5 linked regions of the Macaca mulatta genome follow. The protein of the gene in region 2 interacts with the protein of the main gene of each other region in a biochemical or structural test. Links are inferred from orthologs where the notes say so. Each region holds a gene or a part of one and is shown on either strand. Other genes may lie near its edges.

The links.
Region 1: of the proteins of KAT2B (region 2) and KLF13, one has a biochemical effect on the other in vitro, tested with the Homo sapiens proteins (2 studies listed by BioGRID, with this or other methods). The link is inferred for Macaca mulatta from reciprocal best matches to the Homo sapiens genes KAT2B and KLF13.
Region 3: the proteins of KAT2B (region 2) and IRF2 form a complex in vitro, tested with the Homo sapiens proteins (2 studies listed by BioGRID, with this or other methods). The link is inferred for Macaca mulatta from reciprocal best matches to the Homo sapiens genes KAT2B and IRF2.
Region 4: of the proteins of KAT2B (region 2) and SATB1, one has a biochemical effect on the other in vitro, tested with the Homo sapiens proteins (2 studies listed by BioGRID, with this or other methods). The link is inferred for Macaca mulatta from reciprocal best matches to the Homo sapiens genes KAT2B and SATB1.
Region 5: the proteins of KAT2B (region 2) and CTBP1 form a complex in vitro, tested with the Homo sapiens proteins (2 studies listed by BioGRID, with this or other methods). The link is inferred for Macaca mulatta from reciprocal best matches to the Homo sapiens genes KAT2B and CTBP1.

The regions. Positions count from the first base shown.
Region 1 is NC_133412.1:7,845,603-7,852,276, forward strand, and holds the start of KLF13 (Krueppel-like factor 13), read right to left. Parts: upstream 3,655-6,674; 5' UTR 3,139-3,654; coding exon 2,562-3,138; intron 1-2,561. UniProt on the Homo sapiens protein: Transcription factor that activates expression from GC-rich minimal promoter regions, including genes in the cells of the erythroid lineage. Represses transcription by binding to the BTE site, a GC-rich DNA element, in competition with the activator SP1.
Region 2 is NC_133407.1:28,409,375-28,415,365, reverse strand, and holds part of KAT2B (histone acetyltransferase KAT2B), read left to right. Parts: coding exon 1-34; intron 35-275; coding exon 276-339; intron 340-435; coding exon 436-520; intron 521-4,390; coding exon 4,391-4,584; 3' UTR 4,585-5,991. UniProt on the Homo sapiens protein: Functions as a histone acetyltransferase (HAT) to promote transcriptional activation. Has significant histone acetyltransferase activity with core histones (H3 and H4), and also with nucleosome core particles.
Region 3 is NC_133410.1:192,857,211-192,863,201, reverse strand, and holds part of IRF2 (interferon regulatory factor 2), read left to right. Parts: intron 1-433; exon of another isoform or gene 434-1,112; intron 1,113-1,303; coding exon 1,304-1,403; intron 1,404-2,163; coding exon 2,164-2,340; intron 2,341-2,658; coding exon 2,659-2,705; intron 2,706-5,991. UniProt on the Homo sapiens protein: Specifically binds to the upstream regulatory region of type I IFN and IFN-inducible MHC class I genes (the interferon consensus sequence (ICS)) and represses those genes. Also acts as an activator for several genes including H4 and IL7.
Region 4 is NC_133407.1:30,110,568-30,116,558, reverse strand, and holds part of SATB1 (DNA-binding protein SATB1), read right to left. Parts: intron 5,053-5,991; coding exon 4,876-5,052; intron 4,112-4,875; coding exon 3,985-4,111; intron 3,213-3,984; coding exon 3,089-3,212; intron 1-3,088. UniProt on the Homo sapiens protein: Crucial silencing factor contributing to the initiation of X inactivation mediated by Xist RNA that occurs during embryogenesis and in lymphoma.
Region 5 is NC_133410.1:1,288,233-1,293,841, forward strand, and holds part of CTBP1 (C-terminal-binding protein 1), read right to left. Parts: intron 3,442-5,609; coding exon 3,227-3,441; intron 1,803-3,226; coding exon 1,672-1,802; intron 940-1,671; coding exon 812-939; exon of another isoform or gene 737-811; intron 411-736; exon of another isoform or gene 385-410; coding exon 267-384; intron 1-266. UniProt on the Homo sapiens protein: Corepressor targeting diverse transcription regulators such as GLIS2 or BCL6. Has dehydrogenase activity. Involved in controlling the equilibrium between tubular and stacked structures in the Golgi complex.

The sequences.
Region 1 (6,674 bases), on a different chromosome or scaffold from region 2:
ATGAAATTACTGTGGATCCTGGAGATGCAGGAAGCGGCGGGGGCACCTTCCCACACCTAATGGAGCACAGGGTTCGGCATGACCTCCGTCACTGACTGCAGAGACCCCACAATGCTGCTAGAGGCCCACAAACCACAGACACCTCAGAGCCCATGGCTGCAGCAAAGCTATCCCCTCGTGGCCTGCCTTCTCAGTCATCCCTGAGGGCTGCCTGGGTTTCTTCCTTCTGCAAGACGCTCCTCTTCTCCTTGGAGGAACACCAGTTACTTACGCTCTGCCCATCTGGGCAGGAACTGGAAATGGGCTTCCCAGGGGTGCCCTCCGCCAGATGCTGAACCACACTCCCTCCAGAGGCAGGTTTCTGGGCAGTGCAACCCTCATAATGGGTCACCTGGGGTACCGGTAACATGCATTCCCAGCTGCAGGCTAGAACGGGTCGGCATCAGGGGCCTGAAAGTCTGCATTCTTCCCAACTCCCCGCCACCCCGCTGCCGGAGCCCTGTGCACTCCCGACATGGAGGCCGGTTTCCACCCTGGAGGTAGCACTTCTGATGTCTGCACACCCGAAGGGTGGAACAGTTTCTCTGCTTCAAGAATGGACACTAGCACACTGCAAACGCTCAAAGGGTTGGTTCTATTCTCTTTTGCCTGCCTTCGGTTTCCAGGCGCTCCGAGGAAACTGGCCCCACCTACGGCGGGAGGCCCGAGTCTCCAGAGCCCCTGCACCAATATTCTAGTCAAGGGGCTCGCGCGGGGCCAGAGCCTGAAGCCGGAGGTGAACCCACCAGGAAGACATCCCAGGGCCGAGGCCCTGACGAGCCGGCCCCGCCCACCACGGCGAGCCCCTCCCCTCGGCCACCCCCCTCCTCAATTCCCAGCTACCAGTGCTGCCGAGTGGCAGACCACCCTGACAGGGGCTGTAGAAAAATTTCCCAAACATTAAGTATCCCGCTCAACACGCGCATCTTCCCCCAAAGCGGATCTCAACCCCAGCCACGCCCCAAGCGCTGCCCCGACCCGATACTCAGGGTCCACCTGGAGCCGAGCCCAGCCTAGCCCTGCCTGGCCCCTCCCCCAGGGCCACACCCACCCTGCAGCCGCGTCCCGAGCTGAACTCTGAGTCCATACTGATCCCCACCCCCAACCTGAGCCCCCATACCCTTAACTGACCCCGAATGCCTAGAAATGGCCCTGCTCTCTCTCTCTAGCCCATCACTTGCCACGCGGTTTGGGGCGGCCACAACAGCCTCCGGAGTGAAAGTTAGTCCGAAATTCGAATGCCTCACCTGCAGACCTCGGGCCCTTTCAGTTCCAAATGTACCGGAAAAAAGGGGGCCTTCAGCTCTACGGCCTCCAAGGCTGCAGGTTCTTTTAATGCCTTTTAATCACTACGTGAACTATTTTACAAATGAGACACTACCACCCTTGGTCACAAGGCAACAATATTCAGTACATGGGTTTTGAGCCTGCCCCCCGAAGAGGTGAGTGTCACAGAAGAACTCACGTGAGCTCAGGGGAAGCATATAAATTTTCACACAAAAATGAGGGAGGATTGCCGTCCATTAACACGTTTTCATCTTTGTGTTAAAAACGAAACAAAAAGCGGGGGAGGGAACCGCCACAGATGAATCAACTACAAAGTATCGGGCCGCGCGTGGGAACTGCTGCCGCTGGGCTGGCGGGGGCGGGCGGTGATCCCCAGGCTGGAGGCTCAGCGCCCGCCCTGGCGCAGGTGCCGCCCGCCGCGCACCGGCCCAGGGCAGGTGAGAGGTGGGCAGGCGAGAGGTCAGCACGGAGGACAGGCAGCAGCCAGGGCATTCGTTTCCGGAGAGAGCTGCGAGGCCGAAGAGCCCTAGGGCCGGGCGCGCCCCCGCCGGCCGACTGGGCGGGGGTTCCCACAAAGAGCCGCAGGCGGGGAGCGGGAGCCGGGACCGCCCCCCGCATCGCCCAGCGCCGCCGCTGACTCTGGTTACGACAAATTAAACCTTAGAGCGCTGGAAAAATTACAGGAAGAAGAGAGCGGAGAATATGCCGAGTGGCGAAGGAAGCCTTGTCCCTACGTGAACTTCGCCCGCCGCGCGCCAGGGCCGGCCCCTCCCCTCCTGAGCGCGCGCCCGGGCGGCGGGGGAGGAGACTAGGAGGGACCCCGGAGAGCGTCCCCTGCCCCCGCTACCGGGCGCCCCACCGTCACGAGTGCCGCCTGCGGTCCACACCCAGGCTGTCCGCACCTGCCCACACCGCCCCCCGGCCGGGCGGGGTCCCCGCCCCCGACCCAGATGACTACATCCGCCCCCGCGGCCCCACCCGAGCGCGCCCGGGGAGGGGGCGTGCCCGGCGGGGGCGCGGTCGCCTGGCGGGCGCCGGCTCCAAGAGCCAGGACCCGCCTCGCACGGCGCGCGGGGCCAGCAGCGGGTTGGAGCGGCGGGGGAAGGGGCGAAGCCCCGGGCGTCCCGGCCCGCCCGGCCCCTACCTCGCGCCCCGCCGGCGGCTCCGGGGGCGTGGTCGGGCAGCTCGCACTGACCCCGACCGAGCAATCCGGGCGCCCGCGCCGCCCCACTGACCTGTGTGAGTTCTCAGGTGCGCCTTGAGGTGCGAGGATTTCCCGTAAACTTTCTCGCAGCCCGCGTAGTGGCACTTGTGCTTCCTCTGCGGGGACTCGAGGTCGGCGCGACTTCGGCCCCGCCGGCCCCTTTGTCTGAGGCCGGGCTCGCCGCTCCCCGCGGGTCCCGGCTCCCGCTCGGGTTCCAGCCCCGCCTCGGGCTCCGGCTCGCTCCACGCCGGGCTGGGGGGCGCGGCCGCCGCGCCTTCGCCGCCGGGGGAGGCGGGCTCGGGGGCGGGCGGCGGCAGGCGGCAGGGGGTCCTCGCCTTCCGGGCCGCGGCGCCCTCCCTGCGCTCCGCCGGGACGGGCGCCGGTGCTTGCTGGTTGAGGTCCGCTAGGATCCGCGCCACCACGAAGAGCGAGGCGCTGTCCTTACCGTCGCGGCGCTCCTCGACGCGGGGCAGCGTGGGGGTGGCGGCCGCGGCCGCGCCCTCGGGCCGGGACTCCGGCCCCTCACGCGGCCCGTGCACGACCGCGCGGCTCGACATGGACACGAGGCACTCGGCGGCGAAGTGGTCCACATAGGCGGCGGCTGCCATGCTGCGGGCTGGGGCCGGCGGCGGTGCTCTTGCTGCGAGGCGTCAGCCGCGCATCCGCACCCACGGCCTCGGGAGAGCGGGCGGGGGGCGGGGGCGCGGCGCGCCCTCTCCTCGGGCTGGGCTGGGCTGGGCGCGCAGCCGCCTCTGCCGTCACCCGCGCGGCTCCGCGTCTGCGAGGCGCCGGCCCGGCCGGGCACCGAAGAGCGAGCGCATGGGGGGCGCGGACGACTGGGGTCCCCGCGCGGCGTCAGGGGCGGCCGCTTCTAAGGATGCCGAGCGGCGACGTTAGGGACCACCACGCCAAGTCGCGGCCGCAGTTTCGCCGCGCATTGTGGCAGGCGGGACAGCTGCCGAGCGCGCCGCGGCTCGGTGTGGGCGGCCCGGCCCCGGGGGTGGGCGGGGCCGGGGCCACATCTGGACCCGACGTCAGCCCCCAGCCACATCCTGGCGGCGCAGGTTACAGGCGGCGGCGGCCGCGGGGAGCTGCGCGCGCGGAGGGGGCGGGGAGCCCAGAGCGCGCACCGGAGGAACGGAGGGGTCGCGTGCCCGCGCCTGGGGAAGGGGGCGTGGCCGATTGCCAGGACGGACGCCATTCGTCCGTGAGTGCACGGCCAGGCCAATCCGGGCCGTTAGAGGGGCGTGCCCGGTCCCGGGGCCTGCGCGCGCCAGTGGGCGTGTCCCCTGGGCCGGTAGGAGGAGGGGCGGAAACTGGAGCGGGGCGCGCTGACGCATGACGTCCGGGGGTGGTGGGCCTGGTAGTCGCGGCGCGGAGCTGCTGCCCGTACCCCCCGCAGTGGGGACACAGCGGGCACTTCCCTGCCGGAGCTTTTGTGTGGTGGCCAGCCTTCGCCCCCGGCGTGGAGCGGAGTGCTTTCTGGAGGGCGCCATTTGTTCCTCCCGCGATGGGCGCCGGCCGGGAGGCGTGTCTGCTCGGCCGGGCGCGGGGCTGCCTGGGGGCGGAAAGCACTCGCGCCGCGCCCTCAGCCGCCAGTTTGCCGGGTGGCCGCGCCTAGAGCCTCAGGCCGCTCGCCCGCTCCACGCCCTTGCCCTGCAGAGCTCCGGGAGTCCGGGCGGGGCAGTTCCTGCGGGAGGGACAGACTCCTCGGGCTCGTTCCTGGCGGCCGGGGTCCGGTGTGCGGCCGCGCTACCCTTGAGCTCGGGTCAGCCCGAACAGGTCTGGCCTCGGCTGGCGGTGAGCCTGGCAGCCCGGGTGGCGCGCCCACCGCGGCCTGTGCCTCCAGAAGCGAACTACGTGCCAGGGCGGCCGGCGCCGCTGCTGAGGGAACGCGGGGCCCCTTCCTCCCCCTCCCGCCTCAGGCCCGCTGCCAACTCTTCTAGGCTGCCCCTCTCCCACCGCGGTCGGGGGGGCTTCAAAAGCCACCAACTGCGAGGACCCCGCCCACCGCGCCCCACCCGCCCGCTGTCTGGGCCTCCCGGAGGAAATGCTCGGCTGCGTCCTGCCCGCGCCTCCCGGCCCGGGCCTGGCCAACTTGCCCTTGACTCTCACCGGTAACCCCTACTCCAGCCCGCGGCCCCAGCCATTCTCCAGGCCTGGGCTGACCTCGGAGACGCCGGTGAATAACTTCCCACCGCCTCGGAACCGGGCTCAGCAAACCGCCTACTGCCTCTCCCCGGTGCATTGTGCTTAATGGACATTGGAAGGAGTCCGCCACCCTCGCTGTGTTCTGAGAGGAGCCTGGAGAATGAAGGAGCCCGGGCACTCACCCTCAGTGGACCCCAGCAGTGGGAGGGGGGTGTCATTCTTCTCTCAGAATTAAGGTTAATAGCGGAGTTCAGGTTCTCACCAAATTGATTTGGGGTTGGGGCCCAGTAAGACCGCTTTTCAGGTAACCGACGGGGGACCGAAACAGCCATTCCGGGTTGCGTGTTATGGTGAACAGCAAATTGCATGGATGTTTGAGCACCCTCAGTATGTGTAACTAAAACCCAAAAATGCCGTCTCGCTGATTGAGTTGCTCCCCTCTGGGCTGACTATAAAGGTGCTGGGCTGGGTCTGGTCCCTCTAGGAGGGTCTGTGCTTGGCAGAAAGTAATCATGTTTCTTCTAGGCAGATTGTGTTGATGACATTTAAGAGACGTGTGTCCTGACCAACTAATGATTCGGAATGTTCCTCCATTCCCACCACATGTCACAGTCAGTCACTTCTTAAGGAAGGAGTGGTCCTACACCAGCTTATCAGCCACCCATACCCTCCTGGCCGCTTTCCAGCCAGCAGAATTCTCCCCAATCTTCAAGGTGCCACGTCTCTCCACGGGTCACCCCAGCCAGCATACACAGTGGTAGGCCTCCTAGAGTGTGCACTATTCTAGGTATTGGGCTACTACAGCCATGAACAAAACAAGCCTGCCCTGGGTGAGGGGATGCCCTGCATGGCCAAGGGTCCTCGGCACTGATGCACCCCCTCCAAGAGTTTCCCAAGAATGTGGATGCCAAAGAATTTTGACTGTATTCTGTGGCATTCTGGATAGAAAACTGAGCCCCCTGGCCGGTTTCTCAAAAATCCACTCAAGCGTTTGATGATTGTCATGGTGTTCACTGACTTTATCCCAAACCTACATGGAAGCGTCTTCCGCACAGACACAGCTCTTCCCCAGAGAAAATCTCTTAGCTAAGAGTCCATGTTTTCGTTGCTAAGTAAAATTTTGACAGAGATGGCCTATGTATATGTGAGGGCTGGGCCGCCTCATTTCAAATGGAAGCAACAGAAAAGCAGAGCAGCTGTGTCTGGGGAGTATAGAGACTAAAGGCTGAAAGGGTGGTTGAGTTTCTGGGTAAAGTTGGTGGATGGTTAGTATGTGTTGACTTTAACTTCCTTCTGGAGCATTTGTTAGAAGGCAGAAATCCACAAAGACAGGGAGAACAAGAGAGGAAGTAACAGCAACACAGTTTTTGAAGCTAAAATACTTAGCAGATTCAAGAAAATGAAACCCTGAGATAGTAGCTAGGAAGGAAAGCTAAGAATATACTCCATGGAATCCCCCAGAAGGTTCACTAATGGGTGGCACTATGTCCCTTTGAATGTGAGAGTAAACCGGGGTGAAAGGTTGGCAGAACGTCTGCTTGAGGAACACTCAGATGCCCATATGTGCACCCCAATTTCATGCAGCCTGATAAGTGCCCCTTCCTTGTTCTGACAAAAGGCTGGATATTTATGACCTGAAAAAAGTAAAAGGCAGCGTCTGGGGTGGGTGGACACCAGGCACAATTAAGGACAGAGGTACGGTAATAGGATCAGGCGATTAAATGCACACATGGATACTGGATGCTGAGACCCACAAGCCCCCTTCTGGGATTTCAGAATGCAAGCAGCCAGGAGACTAGAAGGGTCTTTCCTGGGGGAGCCAACCATGCCAAGGGGAAACACCCAGACATTCTGACATTTGTGGCTGCCCAACTACCCTATAGGGAAGGCCACAGTTAACACCGCCACTCATGTGCACAGAAGTTCTTGTCAGTCTCTCAGTCCCTCCCGGGCAAAATACAAGCAGGCAGCCAGAGCTGACCGGCATCCCAGG
Region 2 (5,991 bases):
AGACAGGCTGGAAACCGAGTGGAAAAGAGAAAAGGTAAGTATGACAGGCAAAAGGATGTTAATGGAAGTGATTATTTTCCCCCCACCCAGCAACTTAAAGAAAATGGGCAAACTAATTGTAATCACTCACACAACAGTTGGTGGGTTTTGAGTTTCCTAAAACATTCTGGAATGGTTCCAATTTTAGGTTTTTGTAAGAATGAGCTGAATAGTAATCAGCTGGCAATAGGGTATAAATCTAATCATTGCTCCTTGTTTCCCTTTTTCCTTTCAAGTAAAGAGCCCAGAGACCCTGACCAGCTTTACAGCACGCTCAAGAGCATCCTCCAGCAGGTGAAGGTGGGTGTCCTCTTTATTCACCTCATGCAAATATTTTGAAATGATTTCCCACATGGAATTTCCATATTAGATACCTTACTTTTTTCTTTACCCAAGAGCCATCAAAGCGCTTGGCCCTTCATGGAACCTGTGAAGAGAACAGAAGCTCCGGGATATTATGAAGTTATAAGGTTCCCCATGGGTAATGCCATTAACATTTTCTAAGTATAGATTTAAAACTGGATGGCGGTGTGGGGGACAAATGGTTGCTGAGGTTGATTTGTACTCCTCTGTTTAGGGTAGGAAGTGTATGACGGGTGGTGGGATTCCACGCACCGTGGAGGGGCAGTGATGGCAGAGAAGTGGGTGGCTGTGTTCATTAGAGACATTCTGCAGCTGTCGTTTAGAGCCCACACGAGCTTAACGACACTAGACACAGAAAATCCAGGGTAACTGCAGATAGCACTAGGTATGAAAGCTGGTACTTTAGATATAACTTTGCTTATATTCTGTTTGGTGCAAATAGAAAACATCAGCTTATCCTCTTGATATGCTTTGAGTCTGTCGTAAATAGGTATTCCTTTTCATAATTATTCAAGATAATAATGAAAGAAGTTAAACTACTTGACTGCTGTCCTTTCAGAGGGAGAAATTCTACTTACCACAATTCTGGATTTTCCATGCCCTTGATGGGTACTGTTGGTGTCACTGTATATACTCTTTATTTTAAGCTTTGTCTCATATCCAAAATCAAACAAAAAAGGATGTCTTCAGAAATGTAGAATTGTGCAGTTTGGTGCTTTGCCCACACTATGCTAAAATGAATGATTAATTCAATTGAGAACGCTCAAATTAAACTAATTTGGCATTGTGGGGTGACAGACAGCTAGCTGAAATGTTTTCTTTTTATCAGCTACGTGGCCATATTTTTGGAGAGAGCCAGAGTCTTCTGTCTCTTTTCTACTTGTAATCTATTCCAGGTGCTAAGAATTGTGGAAGTCCAGCCTGGGTAAGGTAGTGAGACCCTGTCTCTACAAAAAGTAAAAAATTAGGTGTAGTGGCACACGCCTGAGGCCCCAGCTACTTGGGAGGCTGAGGTTGGAGGATTGCTTGAGCCCAGGAGTTTGAGGCTGCAGTGAGCTGTGATTGCACTACTGCACTTCAGCCTGAGTACTGGAGGGAGACCCTGTCTCAAAAAAAAAAAAAAAAAAAAAATTATGGAAGTATTAAAAATGTGAAAAGGAAGAGTGAAAGGGATGCATTAGCTCCTTGATAACTGAGTTATTTATAGGTGTTTTCTATAGCATTTAAATGTTTCACATGAATATTTTATATATTTATAGTAATGATTTCAGTAGCCTACACCCCTTAAAGTGGACACACATCTATATGCTTTTCTTTCCCTCTTCTCTCTGCCTTACCACTATTTATTTCAGTACAAGAAAATAAAGGGTAGGGTTGAGTCAGTCTAGAATTCTGAATGGAAGGCTGATTTGGGAATCAGTATTGTCCACTATGTGCAAAATATGTTAAAACTCTTTGTGTCCATTTCTAACCATAAATTAACTGATTTTTGTATCCTCTTCTCTGGACTGTCTCAGCTTCTTTTGTGAAACCCTCATGGGAAGTTGTGTCAGTTTGGGGCCCTTTCAGCCCCTGTCCACGTGCACTCTGAAGACGTGCAGTGATAGGTCTAGCGGATCCCATTGATCATAGCCTACTTACAGCCTGCTTTCTGAAAGTGTTTTTGCTTGGTCCAACCTGTAAAGGTTGTGAACTTCTCCAGTTGGATACAACCTGTGTGCATAGCTGAGTCTCACGAGGGGAAAACTGACCTAATTGAGCAAGGCCAATGATTGGCTGAAATGTGTGCTGGACAAACTTAATTAAAGCTATAAATGGTGTTCTTCAGTAGGGCAGTATTTTTTTTTTTCTTGGTATTGTTTAGATGCTGAGTAAAATATTTAGTTTTGTCCCCAAGATTATCTTGTATTTGAAGACAAGAATGACAAATCAATAATTTTACATTTTCCCATTGTTTCCTTATTTGATTTTTCTAATAACATTACTTTTCTTTCCCCATATTCTAAAAATGGATGAGATTTTCTCTCATATGGATGGGATCTAACCTGTTTTCTCTCATATGGATGGGATCTAACCTGTTTTATTTAGGGAGTCACACACTGGACATCACCTGTATAGTCCAGCCCAAGCATGACTTCTTGTTACACATGGATGGCTAGGCAGGATTTTCATGCTTATCCAGAATTCCCAAATTAAGGGGAAGGGACATGAAAACAATAATTTAATGGTGTCTCTATATTTGGTACCACCAATATTTAGTCACCTTTTTTAACCCACCTCATTTTGTCAATTGAAAAAACTCTAAGAAGGCCAGAGGAAGAAAAATGCTATCTATAGCTATAGAATAGAAAGGAAGTATTCAGAATTGTTTATAGTTATTCAGAAAAGTCCAGACACCTCCATAATTCTTGCTTTGTTTCTGTTGCATTTTAGGCTCTCTCCATCTTTTCTTACCCACCTCCTAAAAGTAGTTCGAAAGCTTTTGGACAAACTTCTTTGTGTTGTGTCATCCTTTTGCTCCCCCTCCACCTTTTTGGGGGGTACATGTTTCTTCCTTTTAAAACGTTATAAATATTATATTGGGCAGCACATCTTAAGTGGTAGACATTTAGGTGGAAAAGTGAAAGGAATGTAAACATCTACTTTTACTTAGGGTCAATTTCATTGTTTTTTTCTTCCTTAAATGAGAGAACATTTTGATCTGTTCAGTCACACGTGGATGGGACATTTAGTGTGGATTTGATGAGTCTTTGTGTTTCTTAACGCTTTTAGATTTTTCTCTCTCTCCAAATTGTTTTAGTTAGAGAAGAAAGAAAAGTTGAAAGTTGAATTTATAGATGTGATGACATACACTCTAACCAAGATAGGCTTTAATCAAGAGATAGGCAGAAGCAGCTTTTTTCCATTTCTTCTTTGATGCTCTTGTGGTGGATTTAGGATATTGATGCAAATGAATTTCTTCCCATTTGGGGATATTGTACATAAATTTACTTACCTTATTAAATGATGATCCCAGTGTATTTGGTTATAGGTTTCTTTCCCCTGGAAATTTTGTAACATGCTTAGAATTTGGGATTTGGGTAGTCAAAAGTGTTTCCCCCCCGCATTTGACTTATTTTTCCACACATAGTTAATACAATTATAGCTTTTAACAATAAAGCCAGACTTCAAGACAACCAGGGAACCATAAATAGACAAATGTTAGCATCTATTCTAATCTGCATATAATTCTTTAAATTAGTCCTGACAGTGAGGACTGAGGAAACCCCTCTTTAGTTTTATCAGTTTAGCTGGAGTACTGTTTTCACCTGTAAAATTCTGCCATTTAAAGCAAGCAGCTATATTGGGAAATTCTTTGCAATAGTCTCACAAGGCTTACTTGCTTTAGAAAATAGATTATTAAATGAAGTTTGTTATTCTTATTTCATTGATGGAGCTTGAAGCAAAATTCATTCGAATCATTTTACATGCAAGGTCACTGGTGTGTTCACAGATGTATTTATTATTAGTTTCTCTACTTTATCTATATGACACCAAAACAACTGTGAGTTTAGTGAAACAAACGCAGTCTGATAGTTTTAAGTAATTAAATGATTCAATACCAACGATCCACCTGCTCTGCTCCATATAGATAGAGCTTCTTCTGTGTAATTCTGAATGAATAGCTAACAGTAGTCAGTTCATCATACTTATTGTTGCTAATCTACTTAGCTTCCTTGTGCTGAATAGGGGATTGAACCAGATGACTAATAATGGTCCCTTTAATGCTAAAATGGCTGTGATTTGACATTTTTAAAGAACCCACAAGAGAATGAACATAAGATTTAAGAACTGTTTTCCTTGATCATAAGAATTTCTCTTAAATAAAAGCATTGGGATGATAAAAATGTAATCAAACCAACAACATAGATTTCTTTCCCAGTCCCAGTTTTGTCAGCTGGTGTTTAAAATGAGTCAAAGATTGCTAATATTTTTTTTTCCTGTGCAGATCTGAAAACCATGAGTGAACGCCTCAAGAATAGGTACTACGTGTCTAAGAAATTATTCATGGCAGACTTACAGCGAGTCTTTACCAATTGCAAAGAGTACAACCCCCCTGAGAGTGAATACTACAAATGTGCCAATATCCTGGAGAAATTCTTCTTCAGTAAAATTAAGGAAGCTGGATTAATTGACAAGTGATTTTTTTCCCCTCTGCTTCTTAGAAACTCATCAAGCAGTGTGCCTAAAGCAAGGTGGTTTAGTTTTTTACAAAGAATTGGACATGATGTATTGAAGAGACTTGTAAATGTAATAATTAGCACTTTTGAAAAACAAAAAACCTCCTTTTAGCTTTTCAGATATGTATTTAAATTGAAGTCATAGGACATTTTTATTTTATGGAATAGATTTTAATCTATTTACTACTATTAAGGTAAATTTTCTATGGCATGTCCATTAGCTGACTATTCCATGATAGATGATTAGGGGTTTCCTCAAAACCTGTGTGTGAGGAAATTGCACATAGTAGCAAAATTTGGGGAAATTCATAAAATTTTCAGACCGTGAATGTTTCCATTTTTTTCTAATGGAATGTGAGAGTTTATTTTTATTTTATTCCGAAGGACTTTAAGGAAGGGATACATGATTTTAAAAAAGCCTGTAAGAGGTGAAATATGTGATGTTTGAAGTCTCATTATAGACTTTTTATATATATTTTTTAAAACACTCATCTAGATGAGGTGCTTTGAGCAGTTCTGAAAAATGCAGTTCCAGGAAAGCAACTGCTTTGATTCCTAAGGAAGAAATTCTAAATAATGCAAACTTTTTAAATAAGCATCTAGGTTTTTGATAATTCTGTGTACCTGCAACAAACTTGTTAGTACATAACCACTATTTTAATAATTATTTTCTCTACACAAATGTGTGATATCATATTTGACTTTGCTTATGCAGGCCATAAGTTCCAAAAGATAATTTCCCTGGCCACAAAGGCATAAACTTGAAAACACATGAGATTGAGTCAACATGCTTTAATAGGAAAAGATGTGTGGTCTATAAATGTATCCATCTGGTGAATCCTTGTTCTAATAAATATTTTTTTCTTTTCTATGATACACACAGCCACACTGATAATATGTAAATGAACATTTTCCTTTTTATATCTCCAGATTATGTTTATTGTCTGAGGTGAATTAAATTCCCACCAGGGTTTGCTGTCAGTATTTTAACACCCACATTAGTATATGGGTCCAGGGTCATAACCCCCTAAAATCCATCATGCAACCTTATTAATCTATCTTGGGATTTCAGTTTAGTGCTTGGATTTATTTCCTGATTACACTACATAGAAAAGTGAGACATCTGCCATCCCAGCTCTGGGAAAACCAACTAATATACAACCATATAAACGAAGGCCATCTTGATGGTCTCAACACTAATTTTTTATGATGCAAATTTATAAACTGATTTTTGTAAAGGACAAACTTTTAAAAGTGTATTTAACTTGATGTTTTCTATCAGCATAAATAAAATGGTCATGAATAGTCATTAAAAACAGTTGCCAGTGATAATCTGCATGAAGGAAAAAGACCCCCGCAAATGGCTGAG
Region 3 (5,991 bases), on a different chromosome or scaffold from region 2:
GGTCCATGTGGACGTGTAGGCAGATGCACAGTGCCAGTGGGACCTTAGTACCTGAGGTCCATGTAGACGTGTAGGCAGATGCACAGTGCCAGTGGGACCTTAGTACCTGAGGTCCATGTGGACGTGTAGGCAGATGCACAGTGCCAGTGGGACCTTAGCACCTGCCGCTACCGCCACAGGAGCTGCTTGGGCCAGGTTCCTCATCTGTAGCTTCACTCAGAAGACGGCTTTCTTAGTAAACCATGCGTTTCCAATTTCCAATCATTTGTTTTTCAGGGTTGCTTGAGGCAGTTTTGAATTACAAACCTCAGTTACATTGAGAGAGATGTAGAGATAGTCTGATATAAGGATTGTATTGAGAGATGTTTCTCCAGAAAATGTGTCATCTCATAACCGCTACCTCTTTGTTTGCACTCCTTGCTATTTCCTGCAGGCGGTGGACCCGCGGGGATTCCAGCATTACTTTCTATTTCTGTTGGATGCATAGGCAAATGGAGATACTCGGTTTCTGCGACAGTGGCCCAGATACACCCGACTTCTCTGTAGCAGCATCAAGGGTTTTGGAAAGTTGTCTCATTTTTAATTTACTGAAGATAGCTGGAGTTACTATTTACCAAATGATGAGAATAAATTATAAGAATAAGCATTAGAAGTTTCAGTAGGTGGCCATTTTTCTGTGGTTTTATAAAAAGAGGCACAGGGTCGGGTGTGGTGGCTCACACCTGTAATCCCAGCAGTTTGGAAGCCTGAGGCAGGCAGATCACTTGAGGTCAGGAGTTCGAGACCAGTCTGGCCAGCGTGGTGAAACCCTGTCTCTACTAAAAATACAAAAAGTGACCAGGTGTAGTGGCGCATGCCAGTAATCCTAGCTACTCAGGAGGCTGAGGTGGGAGAATCTCTTGAACCCGGGAGATGGCGGTTGTAGTGAGCCAATATCGTGCCATTGCACTCCAGCCTGGGCAACAGAGCGAGACTCTGTCTCCAAAAAGAAAATTAAAAAACAGAAAAGTGGCACAAATAATGGAACACACTGGCATATCCCAAATCATCACCTTTGACCTTGGAAAACATTCCTGCTCTGCAAGACTTCATGGGACTGACTGTCACTTGGGGTAGGCTGTCAGGATTTGGGATCCAGCGGGGGAAGTGGGTTTGGTTTACGGTAGATTTTCTTGTCAACAGTCAACACATTCAGTGATGCTTGGTGGGGAATCTTGCTGGCTAGACCTTCACAACCTTTTGCAGTGGTGGGTCAAAACCCGTGACTGCGGTTGTTCTTTACCTTTTTTTTTTTTCCCTTCAGGAAAAGAAGATTTTTCAGATCCCCTGGATGCACGCGGCTAGACATGGGTGGGACGTGGAAAAAGACGCACCACTCTTTAGAAACTGGGCAATCCATACAGGTACCTAAACTCCCTGCGGCGTTTATAGAGGCGGGCACTCTTGCTTAGTTTTGTTTTTATTACACATAAAATATCCTGGCTTACGACCTCATGAAGATGGCTGTGAAAAACCTGTGACTTGTTGCTAGGCACATCCAGGACACATGGGGTGCAAACTACAGCCGTCAGAAGTAATGCTCCCCTCATCTCGTAGACTCTTAGTCCTTCAATTTCCTATAAATGTAGTATTCTAAGAAGTTCCCTAGGTGTTACCAGGGGAATAGAAACTCATTTGTTCTGATGCCATAAACTTTGATCAAATTTATCTACCCTAGAAAAGGTAGTCAGAAATACATTTATTTATTACAACATTTACATAGGGAGCTATTTACAGGAATGGACTCTATTGGAGCGTCAGATGAAAAAGAGGCACTCAGGTTCCCTCTGCCTGTTGACTTTGCAGCCTCTCGGTCTTCTGTATTTTTCTTACGCTGGTGCTCCATTCTTCCAGCATTTATAGTTTCCTCAAGCTGTTCAGTAGAACCAGGGTGACCAGCTTGTCCCAGTTTGTCTGGAACTGTTCAAGTTTTAAAAACAAAATTCCCACATCCCAAGAACCTTCTCACCCCCAGGTACACCAGGACGATTGGTCACTGGAGGTATAGCCTGGAGTGAAAAGGTTTCCTCATACTGCCTGACCAGCAATACTGTGTTTCCAGAAATTTCTTCCTCTGTATCTAATGTTTTCTATCTCTTTCTTAATCTTTATCTCTTTTGTTAGGAAAGCATCAACCAGGAGTAGATAAACCTGATCCCAAAACATGGAAGGCGAATTTCAGATGTGCCATGAATTCCTTGCCTGATATTGAAGAAGTCAAGGATAAAAGCATAAAGAAAGGAAACAATGCCTTCAGGGTCTACCGAATGCTGCCCCTATCGGAGCGGCCTTCTAAGAAAGGTAAAGGCATTTACAGACTAAAACAAGATCACTCAATTTATGTCATCGTGCCTTCGTGACCTCTTCATTTCTACATCCGCAGTCACTTCGCAGGTAGAATAGCCTGTTCATGCTGTGGGGGATCATTCCGCCCCTACCTGGCTTGGAAACAAGACTCTCAATTCACCAAAGGCAGTAAAAGATACATGTGGAATTTTGATCATGTACAGAGTAAAGCAACAAGTTCATTGAGAGTTTCAGAAAGAATTTAATTTGAGGGAAATGTTTCTCTGGAGGCCCTTCATGAATTAATACAAAACTACATTTTTGTTGCCACAGGAAAGAAACCAAAGACAGAAAAAGAAGACAAAGTTAAGCACATCAAGGTAATCTTGGGTGTTTCAGAGAGAAAGCCAAAGTTGGGTTCCTATTAATGACTCATACTCTGCCTCGTAAAGGCGAGTCACAGGACCTCTGCGGAGCGTGTCATCTTTCTTCCTTTGCTTGTGTCTTCTGCGCTTTACATGTTTGCTCTTCGGCATGTATCCACTTGCAGACATAGGTACACAGGGCCCTGCCTCATCCCGTTTCCCTGGGAAATCTATGAATGAAGTCACAGATTCTCACTGCGCTCGGCAGGCTGCGGCCTCCATCTGGCCACCACGGCCGTTGCCAGCGGTCATTCTGTGCCAGCTAAGCTCCACAACAGCTTGTGGCTCATACTATTAAGCATATTTTCAGGCTATTAAATATACGTTAGTATGTATTGAATGTTCTCTACCTCTATAAAATGTGTGAACTGTATGTTACAGACGTCCGTCACGGGCCCTTCGGTGGGGGACCAGTGGTTAGCTTCAGTGCTCCATCAGCACAGCTCTCAATGACTGCCTTCTGCCCCCTGCATCGCTCGCACCCCACAAGGGTTTCCCGTGGGATGTGCGTGTGTGTGTGAGTTCTCACGAGGCTGTGTGGTCTGCAGTCCCCTGTGGTCTGAGGGTCTCTGTGCACAGATGAGGTGGCCCTTGGTAAACAGTGAGAGAAGAGCCAAATATGCCCCGCAAAACTGGGGACAAACCTCAGTGGCTGAGCAGAGGGCAGACACTGCAGCCACAGACCCAGGGATCTCAGAGAGATTGTCTAGCTCGCTGGCCTCCGTTTGCAGATGAAGAAATTTAGGCAGCGTATTTCTGCACTGATACTTTCAGTTTCACTTTCACTATTTTTTATTTTTAACGAAATTTAAATATTGCACTGTATTAAAGGCCTGATTGTGCTTTAACTTTTCATTGTGGAAAGATTTTATGCACATAGAAAGGAGACAAATGAGTAAAATTTACTCCATAGGCCATCATTCAGGTTAATTTTAACCTTAATCAGCTCCCGGCCAGTTTTGCTTCATCAATAGCTCTTCCCATTTCCTGACTTCTAACATGAAATTGCAGCCCTTCAACCATTTTTGACTTGCAAAAATAATTTGTGTATTTATTTATTTATTTTCTTTTTAAATTGAGACAGAGTTTTACTCTGTTGGCACAGGCTGGAGTGCAGTGGTGCGATCTTGGCTCACTGCAACCTCTGCCTCCTGGGTTCAAACGATTCTCCTGCCTCAGCCTCCCGAGTAGCTGGGACTACAAATGCACGCCACCACGCCTGGCTAGTTTTTGTATTTTTAGTAGAGATGGGGTTTCACCATGTTGGCCAGGCTGGTCTTGAACCTCTGATCTTAAACGATTCTCCCACCTCAGCCTCCCAAAGTGTTGGGAATACAGGCGGGAGCCACAGCACTCGGCCCAAAAACAATTCTTTATAGTTCAGCTTAATATAATGTTTGAAGCAAATCCCAAATCTCGTAGCATTTCTTCCATAATAGTTCAGTATATATATTTAAAAGATAAGTGCTCTGTAAAAATACCATGATGTCATTATTGTACCTGAAATAGTGCACGGTAATTTCTCAGTATCAGTGAATATCCAGCCAGTGTTCAGAGTTTCAGTTGTTTCATACATGTTATAATTTTCATGTGGTTTGTTTACTTAAGACCCATATACAATTCACATGTGGTTTTTGAATGTCTTTTAAGTATTTTTTAAGTGTATATGTTTCTCCTATATTACCTCTTAAAATATATATATATATTTTTACAATTGAACAAACCTAGTTGTTAGCCATATCATTTCTCACAGATCTTTTTTTTTTTTTTTTTTGAGACAAGGTCTTACTCTGTCACCCAGGCTGGAGTGCAGTGACGCGATCATGGTTCACTGCAGCCCCAACATCCCGGGCTCAGGTGATCCTCTCGCCTCAGCCTCGCTCTAGTAGTCGGGTCTACAGGTGTGTGCCACTAAGCATGGATAATTAAAAAAATTTTTTTATAGAGGTGAGGTCTTACTCTGTTGCCCAGGCTGGTCTCAAACTCCTGGCCTCAAGTGATCCTCTTGCCTTGGCTTCCCAAAATGTTGGAATTACAAGTGTGAGCCTGGCCGACTTAGTATTTTTAAGGCCTACATTTTGATTCATGTTATTTAGTCAGAAAAGTATACCTTTCTCACCAATGTGTGAGAATTTGCTACAATTTCAAGTGTGACTGAATCGTATTTACTACTGTTTTCCCATCATCTAGCTCGGTGTCTGGCCCGGAACAGACCACTAATATGTATTTGATAACTGAATAGATGCATCAGCGTTTGTTGACTAAATAGATGCATAAATAAGTAGGATATGTGGGGTGGGAGTGAGGGGTTTTCCATTAGGATGCAGATTTAATTTCCGAATCACAGTTAATGAAGAAATATGTTGCCTTTTCAGCACACGTTGCTCACATGCATCCACTGTATTCCATCGAACGCCAGATGCCAATGATGCTAAGATGCACTGTTATTTTGTGTATCTCTTAGAAAAATTGCTTCCAATGAAACCAGGACACATACTGGATTGAAAGGCACGTCCTCTTTCAGGGATGTGGCAATGCGAGGAAATGTCCGTCTTAGTAGTTCCTGCCACGTGGTGGTCCCGTTCGTCCGGGATCTCTGCAGCCACATCGGCACCAGCAGTGTCTTCACATGGCCCTAAAATGAGCAAGTTGTGGAAGGTACAGTCCTAGGTGGGCTTGACCATCCTGGCCCAGGGAAGTAAGTGAGAGATCCCCTTACGTGCAGCCATGTGGGTCAAGAGCCACCTTAGCCAAGTGTGTTTCATGAAATCCTTGTGCCATGAGGATAGGATTGACACCTGAAACTTTTCTTTTGAAGAAGGCAGGTGATTCATTAGGCCTACACACAGCCTAACTTCGGAATTTCGATCTACTTGCATTGTACTGTACGGTAAAGCAGGGAAGCTCGGAAGAGGCCAGTGGGCTTCCCGAGTTCTGTGCTTCCTGGCTGTTCAAGCCATCGTGTGGACTCTGTCTCTGCAGAGTGTTTGAAAAGTGAACTCCCCAGGGCGTCTGGAATTGGAAAGTCAGAGGACAATTACTAGCTGTTAATATATTACCTTTTAATTGTATATCAAAACACCCAGGGACTGAGTTAATACACCCTGTGCAAATATACTAAACCTACTTAGTCTATCCAAATATGTAACCGGATACACTAAGCAGGTTTCTTCTGAGGAAATTTGTCTTTCATGTGGTAACTAGGTATGAAAATTTGCTGTTGAAGCAAGCTCTTCCCAAT
Region 4 (5,991 bases), about 1.7 Mb from region 2:
TCCTGCCTCGGCCTCCCAAGTAGCTAAATCAGCACTTTAAAATTTATCACAGGCAAGGACATAGGCTTAGCAAGTCAGGACTTGTGTTAGTCATTAACCGGCACCGTGATTTTAATCTCCAGGGACACTGGCTCCTTCAACTGTCAAAGGGAGGAGCCTAGGAAGGATAATCCCTTCTGGTTCTAAGAATCCAAGTTCAAATGGACATTTGCTTACCAAGTATTAGACAATCGTCCTAAGAGCACAGGAGGTAGGGCTTATTCAACACCCCAGGCAAAATCCTGGTGGCTCCCCAGTTCCACTCCTCCTAGCCCCTGCTCTATAAAAGGAATTTACCTGCCCACAGGGTGAACTTTCTACTAACCATAATATTTAGGGACCCTGTAGCCATACTTGCTACTGGAGTACTTTATCATATTCAACAAAATAAAACCCTTACTGTACAGTAAAATGTGTATGCTGAATTGCACGCTAAAGGTTCTCTCGCATGAATGAATCAACACTCTATAGGGGAAGAAAGGGCTTAACACTTGGCATTTCTTGGTGTTAGGTCCCATTTTGCACAAGACTGAGGCCATATTTATTTGCTAGGCTTTTTTCACCATGACCATCTTCATCACCAAATCTTAACCATAGGAAAAAGAGTAGTTTTGTCAAACTCGGCATATACTTTGGACATAGGCTTTAGGGAACTTGCATCTCTCATCTTAATAACTCTAGACAGAAAAACATAATAAAGAAGCACAAAGAATACAGTTTATATTGAAAACATTCTGACTGGAGTATCAGATTCATAGAAAAAGAGAAGATGTTCAGCAAAATATAAAATAACTCCCTCATTTAGAGAACAATTTACATTTTTTCATACTGTTAAATATTAAATTAATTTCAAATATTTGCTTTCACTGCTAAACTATGCATAATTTTTAGAAGTTTTTTTAAAGAAAAGAATACTGTAATTATAATTGATGTTGAAATTGTAGCCTAGTTCCATCACTTAATGATTACAGTGAGGTATCCAGCCACAGGAGGCCATGTATCTGCAAACCTCTCTCTACAGAAATTCATCAATGTATGACTCCAAAACCAAGTCCTGAATTACATTTTGTCATTCTACTTAATGTTATAATTGTCTGTATGCAATTCATTTTCTATGATAACATTAAGTAAATTCACAATTCTATTTATAAGTTATAGCGAGGTGGAGTTTATTGGCTGAATGTTGATGTCATTTAACAATTAGTTCTCACTGACTGTATCAATAAATATCTCTACCGACATCCTCTTCTTCAGCTCATAGTAAATGCCTTAAGTCTTCGTCTGAATATGCTTCCACGATCAATGGGACATTTAGTAACATAAAGACACATGCGATTCCAGTACTGGGTGTTTATATTATGTTTTAACTGAGTTTTTAACAAGTTTATTTCTAGATCATCTCAAATTTTCAAATGTTAGCAACCATGTAACATGTTATCTGGAGTTGTCTGCAAAACAAAGTCCCAGAAGTAAGAGTCACCCCTTTATTCTATCATCCTATTGATTTGTGTTTAATTAGTTTAAATTATTTTTATTTGATGGTTATAAATTCCTATCCTCTCTATTCCAAGGGTGAGAGAGGGAAGATAGGAGATCAGCTGAAGGTGTAACTGAAATGACAAAAAAGAGTTTTCTCTGAATTGCAAGAAATGGACACTTAGCAATACAGAGAATATATAAACTGTGGCTATAGCTTATTGTAGAAGAATATAGAAAGCTATTAAATATAAACTTAATTCATTTGCTTCATTCCTAAAATTTGTAGCAAATATCAAAGTAAAAATGTTGGAATGTAACTTAGCAAATCTGAAATGCATGGAGTTTCTATGAAACAGAAGCACAAAGCCTACAAGATTCCCTTCAAAGGTACCCAATAATCTTCATGAGCCTCATATTAGAAATACATTTTGAGAATATCTGCTACTCAGAATATAGCAGAAATACACTTTGAGATCTCTCAATTGCAGAAATGTTTACAGCAGCGTCATACAGTTCAAGTTCAAATGGCTGAGACTAATATTCAGAATTAAAACTCAAATTAAAAGAAAACATTAAAAATTTGGTAAAAATCTAGTTGGACCAACATTTTAATAATACTGTATCATGGAATGGCCTTAAAATGGGTTTGGGTACTGAGGGGATGACTGTAACATATTATATATTTACATGTGTTACAGTCATCCCCTCAGTACCCAAACCCATTTTAAGCAGCCCTTTAAGAGTAGATTCATGGCATCCTTTTTTTTTTTTATTTGAAATCAGCTGAGTTTCATCAAAAATGATGTTTGACTTTCTGTCTATAAGCAGGTAGGCAGTCTCTATCTAGAGTTTTAGCTGCCCTCCACCAAATTTATTCTAAACAAAGAAATCAAGGAAAATAATTTAAAAATCTTTATTTCATTTCAAATATCCCTGATGGTATGACAGGTATCTCAGAGGGAAAAAAGAAAATTCCACTGAAAAAAAAAAACAGAAAAGTAGTAAACCAAAGCCACAAAACTGGTCACAAAATCCTAATGAATTAACCACTATTCAACCTTTAGTTAAGGGTAATTATTTTCATAATTATTTGTACTAAAATACTTTTAATTTTTTGGTAATGAATATCCAAGAATTGTACTGTTGTTTTATTCAGATAGCACGGTGAAGTTTTACGCATTCACACTGCCACTGCCATTCCCTCTCACCAAAGCTTTGTGGGATTAGTACCACCTTGACTCTTTCTTCAATAAGGGCATTCAGGAGAATGTAGCCATCATGCTCATAGCACTCAGAAGACAAATCTAAAAATTAGCCAGCGGAGTCTTCCACTGAACTGTTTTTCCTGTAAACAGTCCTTTGGCTCTTTTCCCCAAGGGAGAAAAAGCGTATAGGCTCTGTTCACAACAAATCAGGCATATTTTAAAAGGTCACCAGTGGTCAAGTCACTTTACATTTTTGGCAGATTCTTGCTTCAGATACCAGTTGCTTTAAACCAGGGAGCTCCATCAAACCTCAAATCAGGGTTGCCCATGATGTCTTATTATTTATTACATGCTATGCTAAGTACCTGTGAAAGGGGGCACTCCTTGGCCAACGAACTCTGATTCATATCTTTCAGTAAGTCCTTCAGAGCATTCCTCACTGTGGTGTGCGACCATTGTTCGGGAGGCAAGTCTTCTAGTTTGGGGCAACTATTTGAGACATAGATTAGAAAGGGGATTATTACAAGATTGCATCCCGCTGCAGAACATTCCTTTAAGACAGACAGATTTCATTTTGCGCATCAAACAGATGCATCTGGAGATTGCTCTCGGTCTCCTGATTGTTCCGATTAGTTAATTACTTTATACAACACATCTGCTGTATCGATGCATGAATTATACATCAGCTGCCTGTGGTGGCTATTTTTTCATGTTACTTCTACCTTCCTGCTCTGATGCGCTTGGGAAGACAATTTAAGGTGTACTGCTTTCTCCTGAGCCATCGTGAAAAGCTTTAACGTATTAACCGATTTCCTTTCATTACTCTGTACATACGAATTAAAATCATAAAAAAATAAATAAATAAGATTGTGGTAATAGTGAATAAGACAGTCTTTCACAAAATGTACACAGATGGCACTGTTCATGATATGCAAAAATATTTTTTTCTTAAGTAAACTTTATGTAAAATGCCTTCTTGTAATGCATTATTTAATTGACTAAACGTAAAAAGTCTTCTCTTTTGATAACCTGCACAAACCCACACATTTTGTGTGTGTGTTTGGGGGGGTTGCTTTTAAATTATACATTGAAGTTAGGAAAAAAGGCAGAAGGATAGGGTAACAAAATCGAATCGATCTGTATTAACCTTTCTGAAACACGGAGTAAAAAAAAAAATTGAAGGTTGACCAGAGAGAGATGCTTCATTTCAAAAGATCAGGTAAGAAGAAGGTTTCACCCTAGATTTGCTGTCTTGACTCACCTGTGTAACTGAATTTTCAATGTGACCACATGATACACATCTTGAAGCATATCTGCTACTGTAGCATCAGGGGCATCTGTCACGTAAGACAGTGGAACTGGATTCCACTTTCCAACCTGGATTAGCCCTATTTCAGATAAAGAGGATATGTCACTAAATATTTTACCCTCAAATAATATATCTAGTAGAAGGGTGTTCTTTCCTACTACCCCTACCACAAGCAATACCGTTATTTCTGTCTGAATGATTCCCTTCCCTCTAAAAGGCAGGTCAATGAAAATATTCACAGCTTAGCTTTCCAAATTGTAAAATTATGTAAATGACTGTAGGGTTGTTTATTATTTTGGAAATAAAACCCCATCAATAAAACCTATGCATAAGGCCACATTTTCCTAACTTACAGGAAGTTCTAATAAGACATAGCTGAACCAGTTCTAAATGGCTTTACGATTTAGATAAGATTCTCTATTGCAGTGGGAATCAGCATTGAAAAATACTTTACAGCCCATAAAACCATCAGAAACAGAATAAAAGAAACAGAACTAGATATTCAGTCATAAATGCAAATTGACTCTCAACAGTCCATCTGCTCAAATACGCTCCTCACTTCCTTGTGGGTCCTCAGTGGAGCAGATTATTAAGGTCAATAAGCATACTAATGATTCAGCTGAAGTAATTTAAAAAAAAAAATCTACCTCGACATTCCACATGAGCAAAATGTGTGTTAACTAAACTAAACTGAATTAAGCCAATTTTTTAAAGCCACAGCCTAAAAGGAACCAATGTAATACACAGGCTACAGTTCTTTGAATAAAAATATTCAGTGCTTTCTCTGCAAGGTAAACAAAGAATGCCAAGCAATTTTTCCAACCCCACGTACACATTATTTACCTTTGGCCTGGGCAGCAGAGCTATGTGAATAACCTAGAGACAGCAATGCCATTTCGATCAGCTGGTTGAAAAGCATATCCTTTCTCACCAGCACAAATTCTGCATGCTCCTCCTTGCAATCATATTCAATGGCGTTTTCATAATGTTCCACCACACAGAAAACTGGCAGCATGGTTCCTATCAAAAAGATGAAGAAAGAGGGATGGAAAACCAACAGTCTTCAGAAATACAGCTTGGTGGGGGGAGGAAAAATTAGCTATGAAAATAAATAATCACAAGAGATTCACTGTGCTTCCAAGGCAGACTGGGTACAGAACTACAGGCACATGCACACAAATATATACATTCTCATATTAAAGTTGTAACAGAAATATTGAAGTAGAATGTGAACTTGGTCCTAAGGTAAGTTGTGCTCTAAATTAACAGTGCATTTTCCAAAAGCAATGAATGCAGAATTACCTTTCTGATCAAATAATAATGGTGACGAAAGAAAAATGTGTCTTCCTTAATTTGCTATGAGTAGTATACAGTATGCAAACACAACTCACTGTTTATCTTCAGAAGAACCCACCTTTCTACTGCCTACATGATTTTGCTAATAATAAACTTTTCCTGCTTGTGTCCAAACAAATTATCTTCGACCAAGAAATTTTCATTTTCTTCCTTTTTTAGATATTAACTCTAACTGGTTCCACAAAAAGTACTTAACCAAACCGGTCATCATAATACAGAATTTCAATATGTGCATAATCTAGACAAATAACATTTGCTTTATGAATACTCATTTAACCTACCTAAAAAGATAGCACAGTACCCATAAGTCTTTAAAATCAACAAGCTTTGTTATAGCAAATAAGGTAAAAATGAGAGAGAGAAAAGGAAACTGACCTTATCAGGACATACTAGGAAAAAGGAATCTGCATAGATTTGGTGTGCTCTCTCTTTATATATTTTAATCCAATATAGTAACTCAGTAGCCAGATGATTAACAAGCACAGGCCACACCACTATTAGAAAGACACTGCTTCTAGAAATTGGTATTACGGAATGCTGTGGTACTCAAGGTGTTTATGCAGCGCACTGTCAGACTTCCAGTGACAACGGAAAAGGGTTAAA
Region 5 (5,609 bases), on a different chromosome or scaffold from region 2:
TCTTCGCCTCACCCAAAGCCCCCTCCTCCCACAGGCCCCGTGCCCACAGTAGTCCTGTGCGCACTGGGTCCTGAAGGCCACCCCAGCTCCTTCCAAGAGGCCCTGGTTCTCATAGGCCTTTCGGGTGAGGTGGGCCTTACCAGTTCCACCCAGATCCTCCAGGTCAGTCAGTGGAGACGCCGCCCCTCCCGCCAGGGGCTGTGCTGGGATCCAGGGGAAGCCTCGGGCCCTCCTGGTGGCTGTTCCGGGCCAGCGGGCCTGCTCACCTATAGGCGGCCCCGTTGAGCTCAGGGTGCACGACAGCGGGGTCCATGCTGGCCCAGTGGGTGGCTGCCGTCAGATGGTCCTTGTTGACACAGTTCTTCAGGCTGTCTGGGATCCGGCCTGGGAGAGGCAGGAGGGAGGAATAGCTGTGGCTCTCAGGGGGCCCCAGGAGCGTGGCCCACTGGGTTGAAGACACGGGCTGTAGAGCTCTCGGCAGTGTGCTCCTCCCTCTCAGCCCCGGGGCTCCCAAGGCATGGCAGGGTCCTGTCTCTCAGGGCACCAGAACCCTCGCAGCGTGGGGACCCCCAGCCCAGAGCATGTGCCCAGTTTGCTGAGGGACCTGTCTGCTCAGCCCAGCAACTTCCCAGCAGCTCTTGTGTGTAAGACGACGCCAGGGCTCAACCTGACTTTGGCCTTAGAGGTCCCTGCTGGGGGTGCAGTGAGAGCACCATGGGCCCTGAGCTGGCAGAACATGGGCCTGGCTGCTGGGCGGATGCGAGCCCATGAGCCAGGCCTGGGGCTGGCAGGAAGAGTCCCCCAGGCCCACCTGTGATGGCTCTGCGGATCTCCCGTGCCGCCTCCTCTCGCATCTCGATGGAAGCCTGCTCGCTGTACCACGCAGCGTGGGGGGTGCAGATAAGATTGGGTGCATCCTTCAGGGGGCCCTGGCTAAAGCTGGGAACAGCACAGCATGGTCAGTGCAGCCCGAGTGCTGTGGCTGGGTGCGGGGGGGAAGTGGCTGGGCACTGGAACCCCTGTGGGGGACCCTGCCTGGGACCCACAGACCCCACGGCCCCGCTCCGCTTGGCAGGCGGGCTGAGCACAAGAGCTCAGCCCCAGGACCATCAGACACACCAGGGGCTCCTGACAGCAGCGGGTGTGGGAGCCCAAAGGATTTAATCTCCAAGCCCCTTGGGGGAGGAGCCCTGATGGGGGGACATGCTGGCCTGGCCCCTCCCGGCCGAAGGTCCTGTAGCCCCAGGAGCTGCAGGCTGGTACTGCCCCTGCGGGGTGTCTCCTCCTGTGGCTGACCATCCAACCCAGGGCTGCCTGGGGTCCCAGGGCGCTGCAGGGATTGCAGGTCTGGACATGACGCCATGACTCCATGGCCAGGGCCTGTGGGGACCACTCACGGACACTGGGGCCTCACTCTCTCCTGGCTGGTGGGGAGCCCTGCCCGAAGAGGGGCTGAGGAGGACGATCAACCCTCACAGGACCGAGGCGAGGCAGGCCTGGAGCCCGTGGCTCCGTCCTCACCCCACAGTGAGCAGCAAACTCCCCCATGCCGGCCAGCGAGAGGCCTGAGTACAAGCAAGTGCCCGGCCTGGCGGAGGCGCCATCTGCAGGTCAAGGCCGGCAGGATGGTGGGCAGGGAAGAGCAGGGGGTGACACTGGCTGTGAGGGCACCTGAAGGGTTCCGACTCGTGCACGTCCAGGGCCGCGCCGCGGATCCGGCCCTCCTTCAGGGCCTGGGCCAGCGCCTTCTCGTCCACCAGGCCGCCCCGGGCTGTGTTCACCAGGAAGGCCCCTTGTCTCATCTGGAAGACATGAGGACAGGCCAGGCCCAGTCAGGGTTCCGTGCAGGGCGAGCGGCCAGGGAAGCAAGGTGGTCACGCACGCTGCTGAGGAGGCCCAGCTCCCTGGCCCCTTCCCAGCCCAGGCCCACCCTGGGCTCACCAGGGTGCTAGGACTTAAGACCTCAGGCGTGCTGCGCCGCGGCCCTGGCAAGCTGGCTGAGGTTCGGCCCTGGCAGACCTGCATGGCCCCACACCTCCTAGAGAGCTCTACGTTCCTGCCCAAGCCCTGAGCTGAGGACTGGGTGGGGGCTCCTGGCTTGGTCCCCCTGTGGTACCCCTTCTCTGGGTCCCCTCCAGCCCAGCCTCCCCCAACAGGGCCTCGGCCCACGAGGTGGGACTCCCTGGGATGACAAAGCCCAGGGCCGTCTACTCTGAGGTGTGGTGTTTGACTCCAACCCCAGTGGGGCCTCCGGACAGGCTCACTTTTCATGCACTTTTGCAAAAGGCCCTTGCAGTGGCTCCCTGTCAGCTTCGTGGCCAGGGCTTTCCTGCAACCCCCCCATTTCATTCCGAGGAAGCCCACCCAGCCATTGCACTTGGGTGGCAGCCGGGTGGGTCACGGTGGCTTTTCTTTGGTGAGTTGCTGCCCATTGCAGCCTCACACCCAAGGTCCTCAGGGATGGCAGGGCCCTGACCAGCATCCACGTGCCACACCCTGTCCACTAGAAGGCTCCAAACCCACTGGCTCTGTGAACAAAGGAAGGGGAGGTGGGCACCTGGTTTCATCCTCCCTGTGGCTACAGGCTGCTGGGGCAGCTTGAGTGGGTGGGTGGCCTCTGACACGTGTACACACACGCACACACAAGCTCAAACGGGCAGACACAGGCACCCACACACACTTGCCCACATACACACACATCACCGTGCACACATAACGACTCCCTGAAAGGCCAACAGCCAGCGGGAGGCAGCCGTCCCGAGCTCCGCCCACCCGAGCTCCGCCCACCCGAGGGAAACACGGGCTGAGGCTGCGCTCTGCGCTGAGCTGAGGCAGAGGCCGACCTGAGCACAGCCCTCTCCAGCTGCAGATGTGAAACCTGAACCTGGCAGCACAGGATGGAAGTCAGAAGGGCAGGCCCAATGCCCCCAGGTAGCTGCATCATCTCCACTGTGACAGTGGCAAGAGCTTCAGGGGAATTTAGGATTCAAAGGTATGTGGTTCTGTCTTATCCAGAGTATTTCAGGCATCCTGGGTAGAACTCAGAACATGGAAAACGCCATCTGGGCAGACAGGGCTTCCCCCAGCAGGGCCGGCACCGCCGCCATGTGGCTCACTGAAGGCAGGGTCTCGCCCAGGTGCAGGTGGTTGCTGGGAGGGACCTTCCTGACACCCCCACCTGTGCCTGCCCCGCAGAAGGAGAGCCCTGTGCCCCGGCTCCACGCACCTGCTTGACGGTGAAGTCGTTGATGAGGTGGTGGTTGTGCTCGTTGAGGCCGCAGTGCAGGCTCACGCAGTCGCTGTGGAAAAGCAGGTCCTGCAGGGTGCTGACCCGCTGCAGCCCCAGCGCCCGCTCCACGCCGTCCGACAGGTAAGGGTCGTAGAAGAGCACGTTGAAGCCGAAGGCCTTGGCCCGCAGCGCCACCGCCTGCCCCACGCGACCTGGTGGTGTCAGGACACAGTGTGAAACCCTCGCTCACCCGTGGCTGGGAGGCTAGCCCTGACAGCCAGGATCGGAGTGGCCCCTGTGCCTCAGTTTGACCATCTGCCAAGGACACCAGCTGTGGTCAAGCCAAGGTGCCGGCGCGAGGTATCTCCACACGAGGTGTCTGCTCCCAATGCGCCCACTGCCAAGGTGGAGGCTGTGCACGGGGGGGAAAGGGTGCACGAGCCCCTCGGCCCACACCAGCTGCCAGCCACGCCCCCCCGCAGCCTGTCCACAGGACGTGACACGAACCACTCAGTGTCAAACGGACCGTCAGCGGGTCTCCACTCACCCCACACACGCCCTATGTGCCCAGGTCCCTCCACTGGCCTGCTTTCCGGTCCACCCATCGATGTCTCTGGCATCTCAGTTCCAGCCACGACTAGGTGGAGATGGCAAAGGGGGCGGGAGGGAACCTTCCAGACCAGGGAGGCCCCGCTGGGCTCATGTCCTGTCCCCTTCCAGTGGAGTGGCAGAGAAAGCCATCCCGGGCAGACGTGCCTGCCCCGACCCCAGCAGTCCAAGGCTGGCGTGGGCCCCAGCACAGGAGCCACGGAGCCAGAGCCACCATTTCCTCCCCGGGGAAGGGTCGGCAGGGTGCATGCGCCCACCGTGAGCCAACAGCACGGCTGCAAGGGACACAGGACCCCGGAAGCCCAGACGCGGCTGCGAAGGACACAGGACCTCAGAAGCCCAGACGCGGCTGCGAAGGACACAAGAACCCAAGCCCGCCAATGTGGTGTCTCCTGCATCGCCTCAGAGGGAACCGCTGCACAGGAAGGAAGCCGGCTGGGCGCTGGGGCAGGAGGGAAGCGGGTGCAGTTACAGAGGTGGCAGCCAGGGCAGGCATCCCTGAGAAGACCAAGCTTGTTGGAGACATGAGGGGATGGGAAGGGAGCCGAAGAGCTGGAACAACACGTGTGAGGGGCCCACGGTGGCGGCGGCCTGAGGGCCAAGGAGACCAGACCGCCAGGCAGACAGGGCAGCCAGATGTGGCCCAAACGCCCAGGGGACTCCCAGTCACTTGGGAACAGCCTGGGGGAGGCTGGGAGGCCAGTCAGAAGAGCTGAGGACCGTCTAAATACACTACATCCTAGAAAGGCAGGCGCCTGTTCTACCAGAAGGAATATGGCGGCTCCTTTCATCCCCAGGGACGAGGCTGCTGCAGGAGGCAACCGGTCCGGGGAGGAGGGCTCGGCAGGCCGAGGTGGGAGAAGCAGTTCCGAGGTCAGTCACGGCCGGAGTACCCGGGCAGCTCCCCAGATGCAGGAACAGCCCCCGTCTGGCAGCACCCCCTGCCAGGGATCCCACTGAACGGGCAGGAGAGGGAGGAAGGAAGGCAGATAGGCAGACACAGAGAAAGGCACCTCCCACAGCGCAGGAAGCAGAAAAGACGCTGTTTCCCACTCTGCTCAACAGAAAGCCCCAGGGAGTCCGGCTGCCGGTGGCGAAAACCAGCTAGAGGCGCAGGCCAGCGCCGGCCACACCTGACACAGGACAGCAGTGGCTGCTGGGGCGAGATGGTTCTTCACTTTAGTCTCTGCCATTCTTTTCCATACGATGTCTGGCTTATGATAAGAAATTATGATGATGCAGGTGAAGAGGTAGGAAGATGTGGCTTCTAATTAGAATAAAACACTAGAAGCGGACAGACCTGCAGATGACCAAGGCTGGAATCAGCCAGCAAAAGCTCCTAAATAACTACTATAAACATGCTCAGAGATGACAGCAAGTGTTGATGTAAACAGCAGAAAAATGGAGGATTCTGGAAGACGAATGGCAACTCTATAAAGAACCACATAGAAATTCCAGAACAAAAACATCCCTCTGAAATGGAACTCCCTGGACGAAGCTAACAGCAAGAAAAGGATCGGGAGCTTGAAGGCTGGGGCTCAAAGTCAGCAGATGGCATCCAAACAGAAGCAGAGAGAAAAGAATTAAAAAAACTTTTTTTAGGCCGGGCGCGGTGGCTCAAGCCTGTAATCCCAGCACTTTGGGAGGCCGAGACGGGCGGATCACGAGGTCAGGAGTTCGAGACCATCCTGGCTAACACGGTGAAACCCCGTCTCTACTAAAAAATACAAAAAACTAGCCGGGCGAGGTGGTGGGCGCCTGTAGTCCCAGC